Linked DNA regions of Kluyveromyces lactis. The protein of the gene in region 2 purifies or fractionates together with the protein of the main gene of each other region. This does not show direct contact. Links are inferred from orthologs where the notes say so. Each region holds a gene or a part of one and is shown on either strand. Other genes may lie near its edges.

Evidence for each region. Proteins that work in one complex are often made in the same cells at the same time.
Region 1: the proteins of LSG1 (region 2) and MEX67 purify together in Saccharomyces cerevisiae (affinity purification with western blotting; 8 studies listed by BioGRID, with this or other methods). This does not show direct contact. The link is inferred for Kluyveromyces lactis from reciprocal best matches to the Saccharomyces cerevisiae genes LSG1 and MEX67.
Region 3: the proteins of LSG1 (region 2) and RPL10 purify together in Saccharomyces cerevisiae (affinity purification with mass spectrometry; 5 studies listed by BioGRID, with this or other methods). This does not show direct contact. The link is inferred for Kluyveromyces lactis from reciprocal best matches to the Saccharomyces cerevisiae genes LSG1 and RPL10.

The regions. Positions count from the first base shown.
Region 1 is NC_006039.1:845,058-850,519, forward strand, and holds MEX67 (Mex67p), read right to left. Parts: upstream 3,012-5,462; coding exon 1,245-3,011; downstream 1-1,244. Other genes in the region: DAP1 (Dap1p), read left to right, coding at 1-161; OSW1 (Osw1p), read right to left, coding at 272-922; protein-transporting protein SEC63, read left to right, coding at 3,584-5,462. UniProt on the Saccharomyces cerevisiae protein: Involved in the export of mRNA from the nucleus to the cytoplasm.
Region 2 is NC_006042.1:640,284-645,505, forward strand, and holds LSG1 (ribosome biogenesis GTPase LSG1), read right to left. Parts: upstream 3,595-5,222; coding exon 1,648-3,594; downstream 1-1,647. Other genes in the region: SNAP receptor USE1, read right to left, coding at 1-760; RRT2 (diphthamide synthase), read left to right, coding at 3,757-5,016. UniProt on the Saccharomyces cerevisiae protein: GTPase required for the nuclear export of the 60S ribosomal subunit. Acts by mediating the release of NMD3 from the 60S ribosomal subunit after export into the cytoplasm.
Region 3 is NC_006040.1:485,455-489,927, reverse strand, and holds RPL10 (60S ribosomal protein uL16), read right to left. Parts: upstream 1,908-4,473; coding exon 1,245-1,907; downstream 1-1,244. Other genes in the region: BUD20 (Bud20p), read left to right, coding at 2,546-3,049; ubiquitin-specific protease OTU1, read right to left, coding at 3,216-4,175.

The DNA.
Region 1 (5,462 bases), on a different chromosome or scaffold from region 2:
CATTTGATTTGGATACAGTAAGACACTGGGACCAACCTATAGATACTCTCCAGGACTTAAACGAGCAAGAGCGGGGAGCTCTAGAAGGATGGGCTGCGCATTTCCAAAAGAAGTACCCATGCATAGGAAGTTTGGAAGCTGAACCCGGTGTAAACAATTAGAATATTTGTTCAGGCCTTGGTGAGATTAAGGACTATTTTTGTATTTATTTATGCTTCTGTTTTCTAGTGTACTACAAGTCCAGATAATTTATATGTCTGTATATGATGGATTAGGACATGGTCTCTGCAACTTCCTCAAAGAAGAAGCGCGAAACAGGTTCAGGCTGATTTCTACTCCTGAAACCATTTCTCGTCGTTCGCTGACTAGGATTCAAAGAAGGATAGTCACGTATTCTAAAAGTGTGCTCTTGTCCTATATTAATCAACTTCGGATCTTCTGTGTAACAGCACGGTATGTCGACAGTTTTCACGATTCCTTGTTCAGAATAATTGACCTTTAAATCTGCGTGTTTTGCTACTTCTTGCCTAACTGTGTGCCTCGAATTTTGATAAGGATCTCTCTCTACAGATGCGTTATTCACTATTCGTTTCATTGAGAATTTTCTACCGCTGATCCAAGATCTCAAATGTCCATTGGTTTCTAGAATTCTCACCTTTGGCGAATTCTCCTGACCTTTATTAAACGATACTAGAAGCAATGGTTTCATGTTACTCGATTTATGCGACATACCAGTAGGAAGATTAGCAATACGGTCTATTGGGATTGCAGATCTCTGATTTGTATTCCTTGAGCTCTTCTTCAACTTGTGTAGGTTCCATCGCCTTTTCAATCTTTTCAAAGTGACACAATTATGCACCTTATTAAATAACCTTCTAAATCGATTATATTTTGATTGGCGAGGTTCTGGTATCGATCTCATTTAATGTAGTTATATTGCCTTGGAATAGTGAGTTTTCAGCAAAACTGTAGTGAGCTTATAATCACAATTTGTAATTTGCTTAAGAGTTCATTGGCTAGTATAATGTTCTGAATGTTAGGCCCTTTTTTTATTGACGTACACTTTGTGACAAACAGGATATATGATAAAAAATAGTCACAGAGTCAAGTCACCTTGAATCCAACTGATATAAATAGATGGATATACTTAGTTTAATTTATTTGTGTGAGATGCAACTATATATTATACTGAATGAATTAAGATGTTCTTTTTTAAAGAAGCGCACATGATTAGCTCAATACTTTTAGATGAATGCCTCTCTGGGTAGATTGTTTGCACTGTTTCTAAATCCTTGGATAGCATTATCATAGTTCCAAAGACTTTGCTCGGCAAGCATATAAGTGTACTCAGCGTTAAGCTTTGTTTCAAGGTGTAACTTCTGAAGTAGTTCTAATTGTACAGGTGACAATTTTGCTTGCACTTCCGGTGAGAATTGCAAAGGTGTCGATCCAAGAACTCCCGGGATTTGGCCAGGAATGGATGATGTATTTGGCGGAGTTTGTGAGAGGGGCACGTTCATTTGTGGCTGATGTTGCACAGATTGAGCTTGGAGATGTGGTGGAGAAGGTGGTTTAGACCAAGCGCTATCACAGAATGGCCTTATCGTCAACGAATCAGATGCAATGATGACACTACCATTTGGACTTGGAACTAAGACCATTGTTCTATCGAAGGATTTCTGTGAAAGTTTGATGTTCGGCGTAGACGTAAATCCATGGTTGTATCTCCTTCCTCTAGAGGCAGATGATCCTTGTGATGTTTTGCTCTTGTCAATTTCAGGTTTGGCAGTTTCATCGAAATGGCCATGAAGAGTGATAACAAACCCTTGAACTTGTGGGAAGGTCCAGGCTTGCACAGAGTAAGCATCAGGTTGTTCTTGCAAAAAATGTTTTGTCATAGGGAGAGATCCGAACACTTCATAAATTGCTTCGGGCCCTATACGTAACCGTTCTTGGATGGTCTTGTCGCTAGATATCTTGGAAATGTTTCTTGAAAATGGTAAGTAATGACCGAATGTAGGAGTCGTTTGAGCATTAGGTACAGTAGCAGCTGGAACGGAAGAATCAACACTTAAGGAAAATTGAGACTGTGGAGTGTACAAACCCATCAATTGCATTCTATTCGAATCCCACAAGTTCAAGAAGTTGGTAATAAAATCTGTTGACGATGATGCCAATCCATTATCTTCGAAAAAGAACTGGGTTTGTTGTACCGGTAAGCTATAGATAGACAGTAGTTTCTGCTCGTCACGAACGACAACGTTATCTAGAATCACCAATTTGGGGAATATCCTTAACATTTCTGTACGATATAAACGATCCGATGTAATTGGATTATTCATCATCAGAAGCTCCCTCAACTCTTTGAATTTATTCTTCCAAACTTCAAGAGAATGGAATCGACTAATACTATTATTGGCGATGCATAGGTTTTTCAAATGAGGGAAAGTCTGTGCCAACGTGGTAACACCATTGACGTCTCTCAAATTATTATCAGATAGGTTGATCGATTCAACAACCATGCTAGGCTCCTTTGAAGCCACTTTCATCATAGCCGGGAACATCTTGGACTGCGTATTAACATTTTTCGGAGCCATACCGCGTTGCACCAACTCCGGATCATTGAACAAATTACCAAGATCCAACATCCTCGTTTGCACATTATATCTTCTCAAAAGCACATTACGAAGAACGGTTATCGTATCATTCGTATTAGGGTTTGTGTTCCCACCGGCTGCCTTGTGAATCTTCAATGAATTGCCTGCAAACCGGTACCCACTAAATTTCACCAATTGATCTGCCTCCTGCGGTGTCACATAACCAACTATAGTGTCCCCTTGAACCACAGAGTTTCTCACTGAGATCCTGGTCTTTCTCGAAATGAAATTCAACAAATCCTGTTGAGTAGCGTTAGTCCATCCACGAATGCTAACGCTGACTAAGTTATCCAATTGGTTTTGCTGTGCCAAAGCACCAATCTGATTCACGTTACCAAAACCACTAACTTGCATCACTCTAGTAACGCTATATCACAAGACTTTTCTCAACCAAATCGGTTAACCCGGTGAGCCTCATCTTTCAATCTCTATTCCCATCTCAATTACCAATGAGACTAGCACATTTTTTGATTATTTCTAGGTTTTTAGCATTTTTTTTTTTAATTTTATTCTTCAGTTTAGTAGAAAGAGATGATCGACCAAATCGAAACAGAAAATTCAAGGTCATGTGATATATTACGAGCACGTGACGTATAAATATCTTTTTTTTTTTTGGTCTTTCTCTTCTATTTGTTCTTCTAAGCTCTGCCGTATTGAATACGTATAGTGTTTCAAACAGAAGGAAAAAAACCCAAAGGTTTTTGGAAAATACAGACTGGCATATTAAAATCGAAATAAGTTAACTGTTAACTACTTTTCTAGATCAGAGGAATAATTGTTTGCAGTTTGAAGGCTTTTTTGTTTAATAGTACACTGTGGTTCACTTTTTTTGATTGCTGCCTGCTGTGTGTTTTATTGTAGCGGCTTAATTTATTGGCAGTCTTTTGGTTCTACAACAGACAAGCAGACGAACAGACAACGACGCCATGCCGCAGAATTATGATTACGATGAGGCAAGCACCACATGGCCATTTTTCGTACTCACGGTGTTATTTGTGGCTGTTACACCGGTAACATTGATTGAGCTGTATAGATTGATTGTTGGGGACTCCAGCGATAAGAGTTCTTCATCAGAATGGAGTCAATTGCACGAAAAATATACTTCAGAAGAAGTTCGGAAATATAGACTTGCTAATAAGAAGAAAAGGTCCAAGAAGGGAATTTACTTCATTACCGTTGGTTGGGTGCTCATTTCGATGTTGATTTATCATATTCGTTCCAACGATGCTATCTATCAGATTGCAGCAGCGGCTTTTGATCCATATGAGTTACTTGGTGTGACGCTTTCGTCTACCGATAAAGAGATCAAGTCTGCATACAGGAAATTATCTGTCAAATTCCATCCCGATAAGCTTTCCAAGGACCTAAATGAGATTGAAAGAACGGCTATGGAGGAACAGTTCGTGATGATTAACAAGGCTTATAAGGCTTTAACTGATGAAATTACGAAGGAAAATTATAGAAAGTATGGTCATCCAGATGGTCCTCAATCTACTTCTCACGGTATCGCTTTGCCCAAGTTCTTGGTGGAAGGAGGTACTTCCCCATTTGTTGTTTTTGCATATTTCATTCTACTTGCGTTTGTGTTACCCATGGTAGTTTCTAAATGGTGGAGCACTTCGCAAGAGTACACAAAACACGGTATTCATTCTGAAACAGCATCTCACTTCGTTGACAAAATGTTCAACTTCAAACCATCTTATGTTGTTGTGCCAGACTTAATCATTAAATGGATCTCTGAAGCAAAAGAATTCCAATTGAAATTCCCAGAATTGTCTTCCGTGGACATCGCTAACATTATCCATTCCCATGTTAACCGTGAAAAGACTGAAAACGAATATGCAAGGAACTATGTGCTTACCAAATCATCGTTACTTTTCCATCAATTGATAGAAATCGCATCCACTTTTAGGAACACTGAAGTTGCATTGATGGCGTTAGACACGTATAAGACAGTGGTACAGGCAACTCCGTTATCGCCACACTCTCAAATCTTTCAATTACCAAACGTGGATAAAGAGCATTTCTTGGATTCAACTACAGATGATATTTGTGCCTTGGGTAAATTATTCACATACCCAGATGATAAGATAGGTAAGATGCTAGGAATAAAAGATGAAACAGCACTCAATGAAACTTTGAAAGTAGCGTCTCGTATTCCTAAGTTGAAGCTCGTCAAGGGCTCCTTCAAAGTTCGTGGATCTTCTCTAAATACCGCAGAACCAGGTTCTACTCCTCACATTCAAGTTAAAGTGTTGGTTCGTTCTCCAAGACACAAACTTTTCCCAAACTCATTGATCCCAGCTGAAAAAATAGCTGGCGATGATCCATTGTTATTGGAACAGGATCCCTTCGAAAAATTGTTGGAACAACCATTGTTGCCTGAAACTTTCGCACCTTTGCTTCCAACAAAGAGACGTACTTGCTGGTATGCGTTAGTGGTATCACAAAAGGATGGTAAAATAATTCAAACCCCAAGCTTGGCCCAAAGATTGTCCCTAGAAAATTTGGATGTCAATTTCGATAAAAGAGTTATTAAAGATTTAGACAAGGAATTTAACGCTGAAGACTGGACCATCGGCACTTTCTCAATTCCTTTCGCTCAGCCTGCTCCTAAAGAAGAAGGCACATATTTCTTCAGAGTCGTTATCAAGTCTCCAGATTACTTTGGTTCTGATTTAGACTTCACTGTTCCATTGACTGTGAAAAATACTCCAATTGAAACAGATCCTAAGAAGGAGATATTGGAAGAACTAGACTCTGACGATTCAGGAAATGAAGGCGAAGAAAATACTGGATATTCCT
Region 2 (5,222 bases):
TTACAAGATAGGTGACCAATAGACCAATTATAATAAACGATAAAAGTCCTAACTTCATTAAAAATCCAATTTTTTCATTGTGATACTTTTTCAATCTGGATCCGAGTGAAGAAAGGCTCTTAGAAGTAACATGCAATCCGATTTCTGCTGCCTTAAGAACAGTAGAGTCGTGTTCGATAGCATTCTGGAAAGCTTCCGCACCTTGTCTTAAGCCTGAAACTAGCTGGGACATGTCTTCAACCAGTTCCTTCTGAAGATCATCCTGAATTTGCATTTGTTTGTCAAATGATTCACCCTCCGTATCAGCGCTGTCCCTTCTTTTACCCATAAGCCTTTGGCGGAGCTCCTTCAAAGAATCGTTGTCATTAATTGCTTCAACATTGGATATTATATCAACATCGTCCTCATCTCCTATAGGCACGTCGGGCGTTGCATCGAAATCAACACTATATCGCCTTTTCTTTTGAGATTCCTGATATGCATCATATTTCTGTTGCAACTTAGAAGCTTTGGAGAAACTGATAGAGCTAACCGATTCCTCTAGTCTGCTAAAGTTTTTCTGGTATCTATCAATAGCATCAGAAGACGGATCATCCAAGTTATCCTTTATAGCCAGTTTTCTCACGGTATTTAAGTTTGTGGCCAGTTTTGTAGATATAAGATAATGGTAAAAAGGGTCTTCGTCATCTTGAAAGAGCGAAAGGTCCCTGTAATAATTTTTGCGTAGTTGATCACTTAATGTGTCTAAATCTGTCGTCATATTCCGTCAGTTAATGTCCTTTAACGAGGCGCTATCCCTTTTTATTTGTGATTGGAATTGTACTAAGTATTATTTTAAAGGCTATATTACATTTTGTTTTATGTCACTAAAATATTATCCCAAACCTCAATCAAAGAAATAACAGAGCTGTCTGAATGAAAGTCATTCACTCTGAAGCATGACCCTTGCCAACCCTTACAAAAGCGCATGTAAGAAAGAGTGGACCGAGTGCTACTTAATGTATCTACCGATGGTAAGTATAACATAAGGCTGAACTTGGTTAACTATTGCTAAATCTTATTGATATACAAATTCATACGACTCTCATAATATTTCAGAGGAAACTACTGAACCAATTAAATGGGTAATATTTCCGCCCACCTACTATCAAACTACAAACTGTAGGAATTCAGTTGTTGTTAGCGAAAAGGGCGTTAAATGGGAGTATCCCAGCTCTGGGCATCTTGAGCTTACTTCTACATGCGTGGAATAAGTCTGCGCCATGATAACCACAACGCGAACCATAATTGAACATGCCGAAATGTGTTTAAGAGCCCTTGTTTGCTGAGCTAGGAACCAAAAAGATAACCACAAATGACAAGAATACTTATCAACTGGACCATGTACTGAGGTCAAGTATAAAGTAAACCAACTTTAACCAAGTTTTGTATCCTTTTCTTTTGGTTCATCAAATTTTTCAGTAAACACCGGGTAATGCAGTGACAAGTTGCATGCTAACCATAGGTCTTATAACCGGAAGCAGGGCAGCTAAGGAAGATATAAAGGATATGCAGTTACATTTCCATAATGAATGGGGATAATAGACTGTGCAAACAGTGGATTTATATATATATAAGAGTTTAGGATGAATTTAGATAGTACTTACATTAATCGGAAAACATGGAAGCCTTTTTCTTACTCTTCTTGTTCTTCTTGTTATGCTTCTTACCATTTTCGTTGGCGACGGTTTGCTTATGGAAAGGGTTCGTAAGTCTGCCTTGAACACCGTTCAAATGGAAGAAATTTTTGTCAAGTTCATCAGCTACGTTGTACAAGGCTGCTTGTTTACCACCATGGTTGACAGATTTAGCTTGTACTTTATCACCATCACCACCAATATGAGCAGAGAACGTTAATCGACTTAAATCGCGAGCAAGATCCAAATCTTGTATACCTTTGTGTTTGGCAGCTTCTGCAAGTTGCTCTTGTCTGTTGATAGGTAATTTACTGAACGTGTATAAATCTTTGTTGAATTCCTTACATTCTTCTCTGGTATATGGCGTATCATCGTCCATGTGAGGCGGTGGATTAATGTACAGGAGTTTACCGTTCACATAATCTTTGAGAATGTAACGAGAGGCACGAGATTCATCTGCGGCACCAAAACCTTGTGTCATATAACCACGAGCTCTGGCATAAGCAACGAGTAATTCTTGTGCAGTTGGTACTTCACCATTCCCACCCTCTTCTACGGATTTGGTCTGAATATGGATACCGTAAATGGCTTCCAAAAAGTATTTAGGGACCCTTTCTGCCACTAATGTCGATGGCCCAATATAGTCACGTAACTGATCGATCGGTAGAACACCGTTACACACCAATTCACCTTTATTGTATGCAAAATTAGGGAAAACTAGACCTGGACAGTCGCATAACGTTACCTTATCAGATAACTTGATAGTTTGGAAATGTTTGGTCTTACCAGGGGTAGAAGAGACAGAAACTTTCTTGGCACCCACCAAGGCATTTATAGTGGAAGACTTACCAACGTTTGGATAACCCACTAGACCTATTTGTATGATTGGCTCTTGACCGGGCAATGGAGGAAGTAGCGGATCGTTTGGCGCTTTATCTAAGAACAATTCTTCAAGTTGATCGATCTTCAGTATGTTAATTTTATCCAGAATTTCTTTGTTCACTTCTTCCCCATCAAGTTCTTCAATTTCTTCCTCTGTAGCCAGTATTTCCTCATCGTCCTCTTCTTCAACGTATTCATCCCCTAGTTCCTCTTGTCTCTCTAATATTTCATTAGCCTTGGCAGCAGAAAAGAATGTAAAAGAGATGCCCCTCGAGAGAAGGTACTTGGCCCAAATAATACGTTGCTTTCTTGTTAATAAATCCGCTTTGTTGATCAAAAGTAAATTCTGTTTCCTGTCATCCACTTCTTTCACATATTTCTCTAAATCTGTGGATCTGAATAATAATGGATCTCTGGCATCCACGATTTGGACTACTAGATCACATCGCTCAACAACTCTCCACAACTGCCTCCAAACTTCAATGTTTCTCTCGAATGGAGTCAATAACAAATCCTCGTTGTCTTCTTGCAAATAGGCTAATTTACGTCTCCATTCCAAGAATGCTTCCTTTTCTAACCTTTCTAATTCAAATCTGGTCATAGATTCATTCCACTTAGGCCTTCTTGGGACAATCAACTCTCTAGCATGTAATCTCTGCTTCTCGTTGATCTTACTTTTCTGCTCATTGGTCAAACTAAATCCCTGGGATGTGGCTGCATCGGCACCGTTATCCATTCTGATGATCTTGACATTAGAATGTCTGTCCGCTGTGAAATCCTTGTCTGCTAACTCAGCAGTACTCAAAAATTCATCTAATGCAGATTCCTGAGTAACAGATCTCAATTTTACCCAATTAGCTTCGTGCTTATCGGTAGTGAAACGTTCTTCACCATCTGGCAAATACTGCACTTCATTTTCCTTACGTCTTGCAGTTTGAATTGCCTTACCTAACCCAATAGTGTTTTTATTCTTCCTTTGAATAGGCTTTGGACCCTTTGGAGGTTTCCACTTCTTTGTTGTTTCCTTTGGTGGCATGCTGCTAGTCCGTGTTGCTTGTAGACCTGCCGTTAACTGCTAAGATTGTTGTGCTGATGCTTTGCTTATGATGAGATGAGCTGGTTAACATATTAAAATTTTCCGCTAGTACGTAAAGTGTAAAAAAGAAATTGTGTGGTAAACCTGAACTAGAACAGATGGATGGCTCAACAATCTTTACAAAAGCACCCGCATGATGAGGATGCAGAGTACGACTCCAACATAGGTATTGCATACCACCTTAGAGGAGCGACAAAATTAGAAGTCAAGAGTTTCTGCAGAATGGAAGAAACTGCAGCTGATAAAAGGGTTACCACGCGTCTTCCTCCATGTTGCTTGTGTATTTTAAGAGAGAAATTTATCATTGTGGGTACCTATCTCTTGCATAAGGACTCAGGCAATCGAACTGGCTCTATTGAGGTTTATGATAAAGAATTGAACCTTCTTTCTAGCATAAAAACCTATGGGGCAATTTTAGATTTGAAGCTCAATCCATTCGATGATACTTTACTCGCAACAGCTCATTCAACCGGTAATATGATTCTGTGGACGATATCTGTCGACGATGATAATTCATCAATTGATATCAAACTATTGAACAACCTTCAAGTATTTGATCCCACATGTCTAATAACGTCTCTCCAGTTTTCTCCATTGCTGGATAATCTCGTACTTTTAACCACTACTAATGGGGATTTTGCTACTGTTGATATCATACATGGTGAAATATGCTTTATAGAGGAGGTGGAGCCATCGTATTTCGACTCCTCAACAATAAATTATATTGAGGTGCCAAATGCAGACATCAAAGTTATAAATGTTCAGAATGACCATGAACAAATCTTTCATTTCAAACATTCTTTGGAGTGCTGGACCGGCGAGTTCGGCTGTTTGGCTCCTTTGAAAGATGTTGTATTCACTGGTGGTGACGACTCTGCAATTGCAGCTCATGATTTGAATTCAGGCAAAAAGATCTGGTCCAATTCAAAAATTCATCAAGCTGGTGTTACGGCAATTAAGGCTGCTAGGGAGACATTTAGAGGCAACAAGCCAACAAGTTTAATCACAGGCTCTTATGATGACCATATACGATCCTTTGATCTAAGAATGCTCTCAGAAACCACAATATATCCAGGGACAGACGTCCCTGTGGTTAATAAATGGGAAGACAATTTACAGGGTGGTGTTTGGAGATTCTCGGAGGCCCCAACGAATGACGGACTGTCAAATAACAGACTTATGGTTTGTTGCATGTATAATGGTGCGAAGGTTGTCAACGTCCAAAACGATCATTTCGTGACCGAGCAGTTTATAAAAGAAGGGCATGAATCAATGTGTTACGGTGGTGATTGGAGTAAAGAAACAGTTGCAACTTGTTCTTTTTATGACAAGTCCCTACAACTTTGGAAAAGTCCAAATTAATACACATATAGTTTTAAAAGGAACGAAAAAAGCAGACGGAATTGAGACATAATTGATGTGTTCTCACTTCGCTGTTTCGATGAGCTTCAGTATGTATTCTTTTTTAAATATAGGACCATTTGTTTCATCTTATTAACGCACGTGACTTCAAGTATCTTCATCCTGCAACACCAAAACACGAAAGTTTTGGAAAAACTGGGTAAGTA
Region 3 (4,473 bases), on a different chromosome or scaffold from region 2:
TGTATATTATTCTTTTGAAACCATTTCAGACGATAACAGCTTTTTTCAATAGTCCAGAGACAACATCGAGGTATTTGCTTTCTGCCTTAAGCAGTTATAAAGACGCTGTAGTGCCACATGTTATCAAATTGAAAGCCAAACTTAATAGGAAACAATTAGGTTTTACAAAGGATGACGACAGAATAACTGTGGTTTTAACTCAAATAGAGAGATTTTTGAGTAAAATTGAACAGTACACTGAGTCCTATGAGAAAGAACGATTATTGGTAGTTGCTAGTTATTTCAATTGTGGGTACAGAAATTTGCCATACCTCATGCAAAAACTAAACCTTCAGTACGAAAAGGGCAACAATAAAAAGAATAACGAGCTTTTGTCAAGATGTGTCAGTGACGCTGTTACAGATATCTTATTTCCCATGTTAAATATTCAAGTGAAAAACGGGATGGACACAACATCTCAGCCACGTATACCTGGTATTATGAGTATTGTATTTGATGATGGCAGTGAAACCATCGATGACCAAAGGATAGATGAATCACATTTCCGGTACATTTTCTATTCAATGGTTCTAAAAGAAGTCCAAAGCTTCAATGGCCAATACAATAAAATGCACGTTCAGTATACTGAAGATCATATGAATTGTAACGGTACCGTTTATGAAGAGACTATTGGTATGTTCAAACTTTCTAATGGAACCAAACTAAGTGAATATGAATATCTCTTATTGACTATGCGGGACGTTCATCACAAGATTTGGGCTGATATCAAAAACTGCCCCATCCTTTCACTTTTCAATCACCTAATGGACAGCATTGCTGTTTCATCGACTCATATCGAACATATCTTCAGCATATCGTCGATCCTTACAAGTAAAGGGAGAGGAAGAATCTCACCTACAAGTTTAGAAAAAAGGATGAAGGCTAAGATTGCATATATGGCACTTGGAAATTACCATAAATTCGACTTGAAAAGTACATCATTGGATCAAATATTATTTGTACGTAAAACAGAATCCTAGTTTTTGCCAAGCGGATCTATATGTATTATTTACGTATGATTGTAATTGCCAAAGGATAGGTTTGTATCATTTTATTCGGGAGAATTGTCCATACTTGAGATTAAAGAGAAGGAAAGAAAAATGATATTGAATTAACTCCAAAACATAATGGTAAGCTAAAATAGTATGTAGGTTAGGTTACTTAAAATGACGATGAAATTATTATTGATTCAACACATAAAAAATTTAAGCCTTAGCGAAGTATTCTGGGAATTCTCTGATGTTTTCTTCCAAAGAACCCTTCTTGGACAAGAACTTGACAAAAGCACCATCGTCCTTAATTTCACCAGCGTCTCTCTTCTTAACGTATTCTTCACGGTTCAAAGAAGTGAAACCCCACTTCTTAGAGATAATGATCTTTTGTTGACCTGGGAACTTGTATCTAGCTCTTCTCAAACCTTCAATGACAGTGTCCTTGTTGTTGTCCTTGGTTCTGACAGAGAAGATAACTTGACCAATGGCAACTCTGGCAGCCAAACCGTGAGGCTTACCCCAAGCACCTCTCATACCTTGTTGCAATCTATCGGCACCGGCACAAGACAACATCTTGTTGATTCTCAAAACGTGGAATGGGTGGACTCTGACTCTTAAGTGGAAAGAATCTCTACCAGTCATCTTGGTGATGTACTTGTTAGCAGTAATACGAGCAGCTTCCAAAGCTTCAGAAGACAATTGTTCCAATTCATTGGAAACTAAGTGGACACACAATGGGAATTCATCGACAGTGGCCTTCTTCTTACCCAAATCATAAATTCTGATCTTAGAGTCTGGAACAGCTCTGTTGTATCTAGACTTTGGGTAAGGCTTGTTCTTTTGGTATCTGTAACATCTAGCTGGTCTTCTAGCCATTTTGAATTACTTTGGACGGTGATAGGTGATCGGTGTTCCTGTAAATAATAAACAAAATTGAAGCGAATGATCAAACCTTATGTTAAAGATATCGATAATTATCATTAAATTATGTTCTCTTTTTATTACATTTGAAAATCTCGATGATTACCACCAACTATTGCAGGAAGCTTTTGCATTTGTCAGAAACTTGAAAAAGATTGGAAAGTCGTAGCGAAGTCACACGGTAAGAAACTACTGTGAAAACAAATCAAAGAAAATAGTTACTAATCACGTGCTCTATTTCCTATTGTGGTTGTTTTTGTATCATAAAAATATGTTGAATGCCAATATGTAATAGTGTCTGGGTGTTGGGGATAGCAGTCCCAGATGCGTTGTTATGCACGTGATGCTGATTGAAATTTCATTTCTTTTCCAAGTCGATGAGATGAGATGAGATGAGACGAGACATGATATTGCAGAAAATTTTATGTACTCGGTGTTTCTACGATAAAGCCAAGTGCGAAGAAAGAAGTACAAACACACATCATTGAATCTCTTTCTCTATGAGACTTAGATACTCATTGGTTTTGTTTGATAGTTTAAGTTAATCTGTGGTACCAGCCTGTCAGAAATATAGGAGAAGGTAAGAAAGGAAAATGGGAAGATATTCTGTTAAACGTTACAAGACGAAGAGAAGAACAAAGGATCTTGATTTGATCTATGAAGAGCTTACATCTCAAAAGCAAATTGATAGTCTCCTGAATCAGCCGATAGATGAAACTAAACCGGGTCTAGGGCAATACTACTGCATACACTGTGCTAAATATTTCGAAACTGCATATGCCTTAAAGACTCATTTGAAGACTAAAATCCATAAGAGAAGGGTGAAGGAATTGAAAGGTGTTCCATACACTCAACAGGTAGCAGATGCTGCTGTTGGGTGTGGTGTGAACTCGTTCTTGGCTAGAGTAGAGCAGATCAAATCTCAAATTGGTCCTCAAAAGGAGGAAAACGAAAAGATATTAACCTCACATCTTGATACCACTTTGGCCAACGTCAGCACAACAGAATCCACTTTGCCATACCTTGATGGTGCAGTACAGGAACAAGCACAGCAAGAAGCTGTAGTTGCTGAAGGGGAAATTCAAATGGCTGATTAGATGCAGGAAAACATTTTCACTTCCTGTGCTTTTTCTTCAATGTATATTATCATTTAACACAAGAGAAATACACCGAAAGTGCAATTATATAAACTGGTAGATATACAGACGCTCATATATTAAGTGCTATTTCTTTCTTCAATATTATTCAATGGTTATATTTGTTTTATTTTTGCCTAAAATCAACATGACCAGTTTTCTCAGCGTGCTTGCTCACCTCTCGTTCTCCAATCAAGGTGGTGCCACAAGTATTGCATAAAATTGAATCTCTTGCAGTATTGAAAGACTTCCCCTCTCTTTTCATCTTCTTCGCGATCTCCTGTGTTTTTTGTAAAAGGAATTCAGTATCTTTCTCTCCGATGTCAAATACAGTTTGATGCTGAGTTCCATCAAATATCTCTACCGTATCATAATGAACTCCGTTATATGCTATAATAATAAATTTATCGTATAAATCCTCGTTGAATTTCTCGAATTTACGTGCATCCACATCGAGCACGTATATCGCATACTGAAAATGTTTCGATAATATTGCAATCTCGATACCACCTCCCCATGAAGAATGTTTCATTATCCACTCACTGTATTCATGATTCGGCCTGCCAAGAATAGCATCTGAATATTCAAATGGGTCTCTCCGGACTTCTGACGCCACAACTCCCCGTAGTTCTGATGACAGTGAAATGTTCTTGTAGACAGCATAGGATATAGCATGGAATAGACACGAATTGTCATCGGGCACTTCATGGAGTTGTAGTGCTCTAGTTGAATCTATCTGTACACTTTCAGATTTACCAGTGGGCTTCTTTTTCACTTCTTTATTGGGTAGTGTATTTGCTTTACTGGCATTAATACTTGGTTGTGTTCTGGTGGCAATAGCTTCATCGGCTTTACTCAGGCTCACTATGATCCGTTCCCCATTGCATATTCCTAGCTCTTCAAGTGTCTTAGCCTCATTCCCCTGAAAAAGTATACTCTGAGGTGGGAATCCGTACCGCATACTCTGCAATGATAGATCATCTTCATATGAGGACAGAATGAGTCCCTGAAATGTTTCCAAATCACATTCGGCTTCGACAGTTAAAACTTTGTCGCTCTTCCCAGAAATAGATACCTTGACCCTCATCTGCGAATAGGAAATATATTAAGTCTCGTTTAGCGGTGGTTATTCGACAGATATATATGGAAATGCTATGGCTATCCTCTTGGGGATGGATAGATAGTCTGTTGTTCTATCCGATTTTCCCCTTATTGCTTAGGCACTTAGAGGATTCCAAAAACAGATCACATGCTCAAGTGAAATTAACCCGTACATCACAGCAAACATTTTTCTTTGCATGCAAGAACAGTAAACGTCAAAACCACAACGAGATGAGATGAGATGACAGGTTGAGTGCATGAAGAAATAATGGAACTTTTAGTTT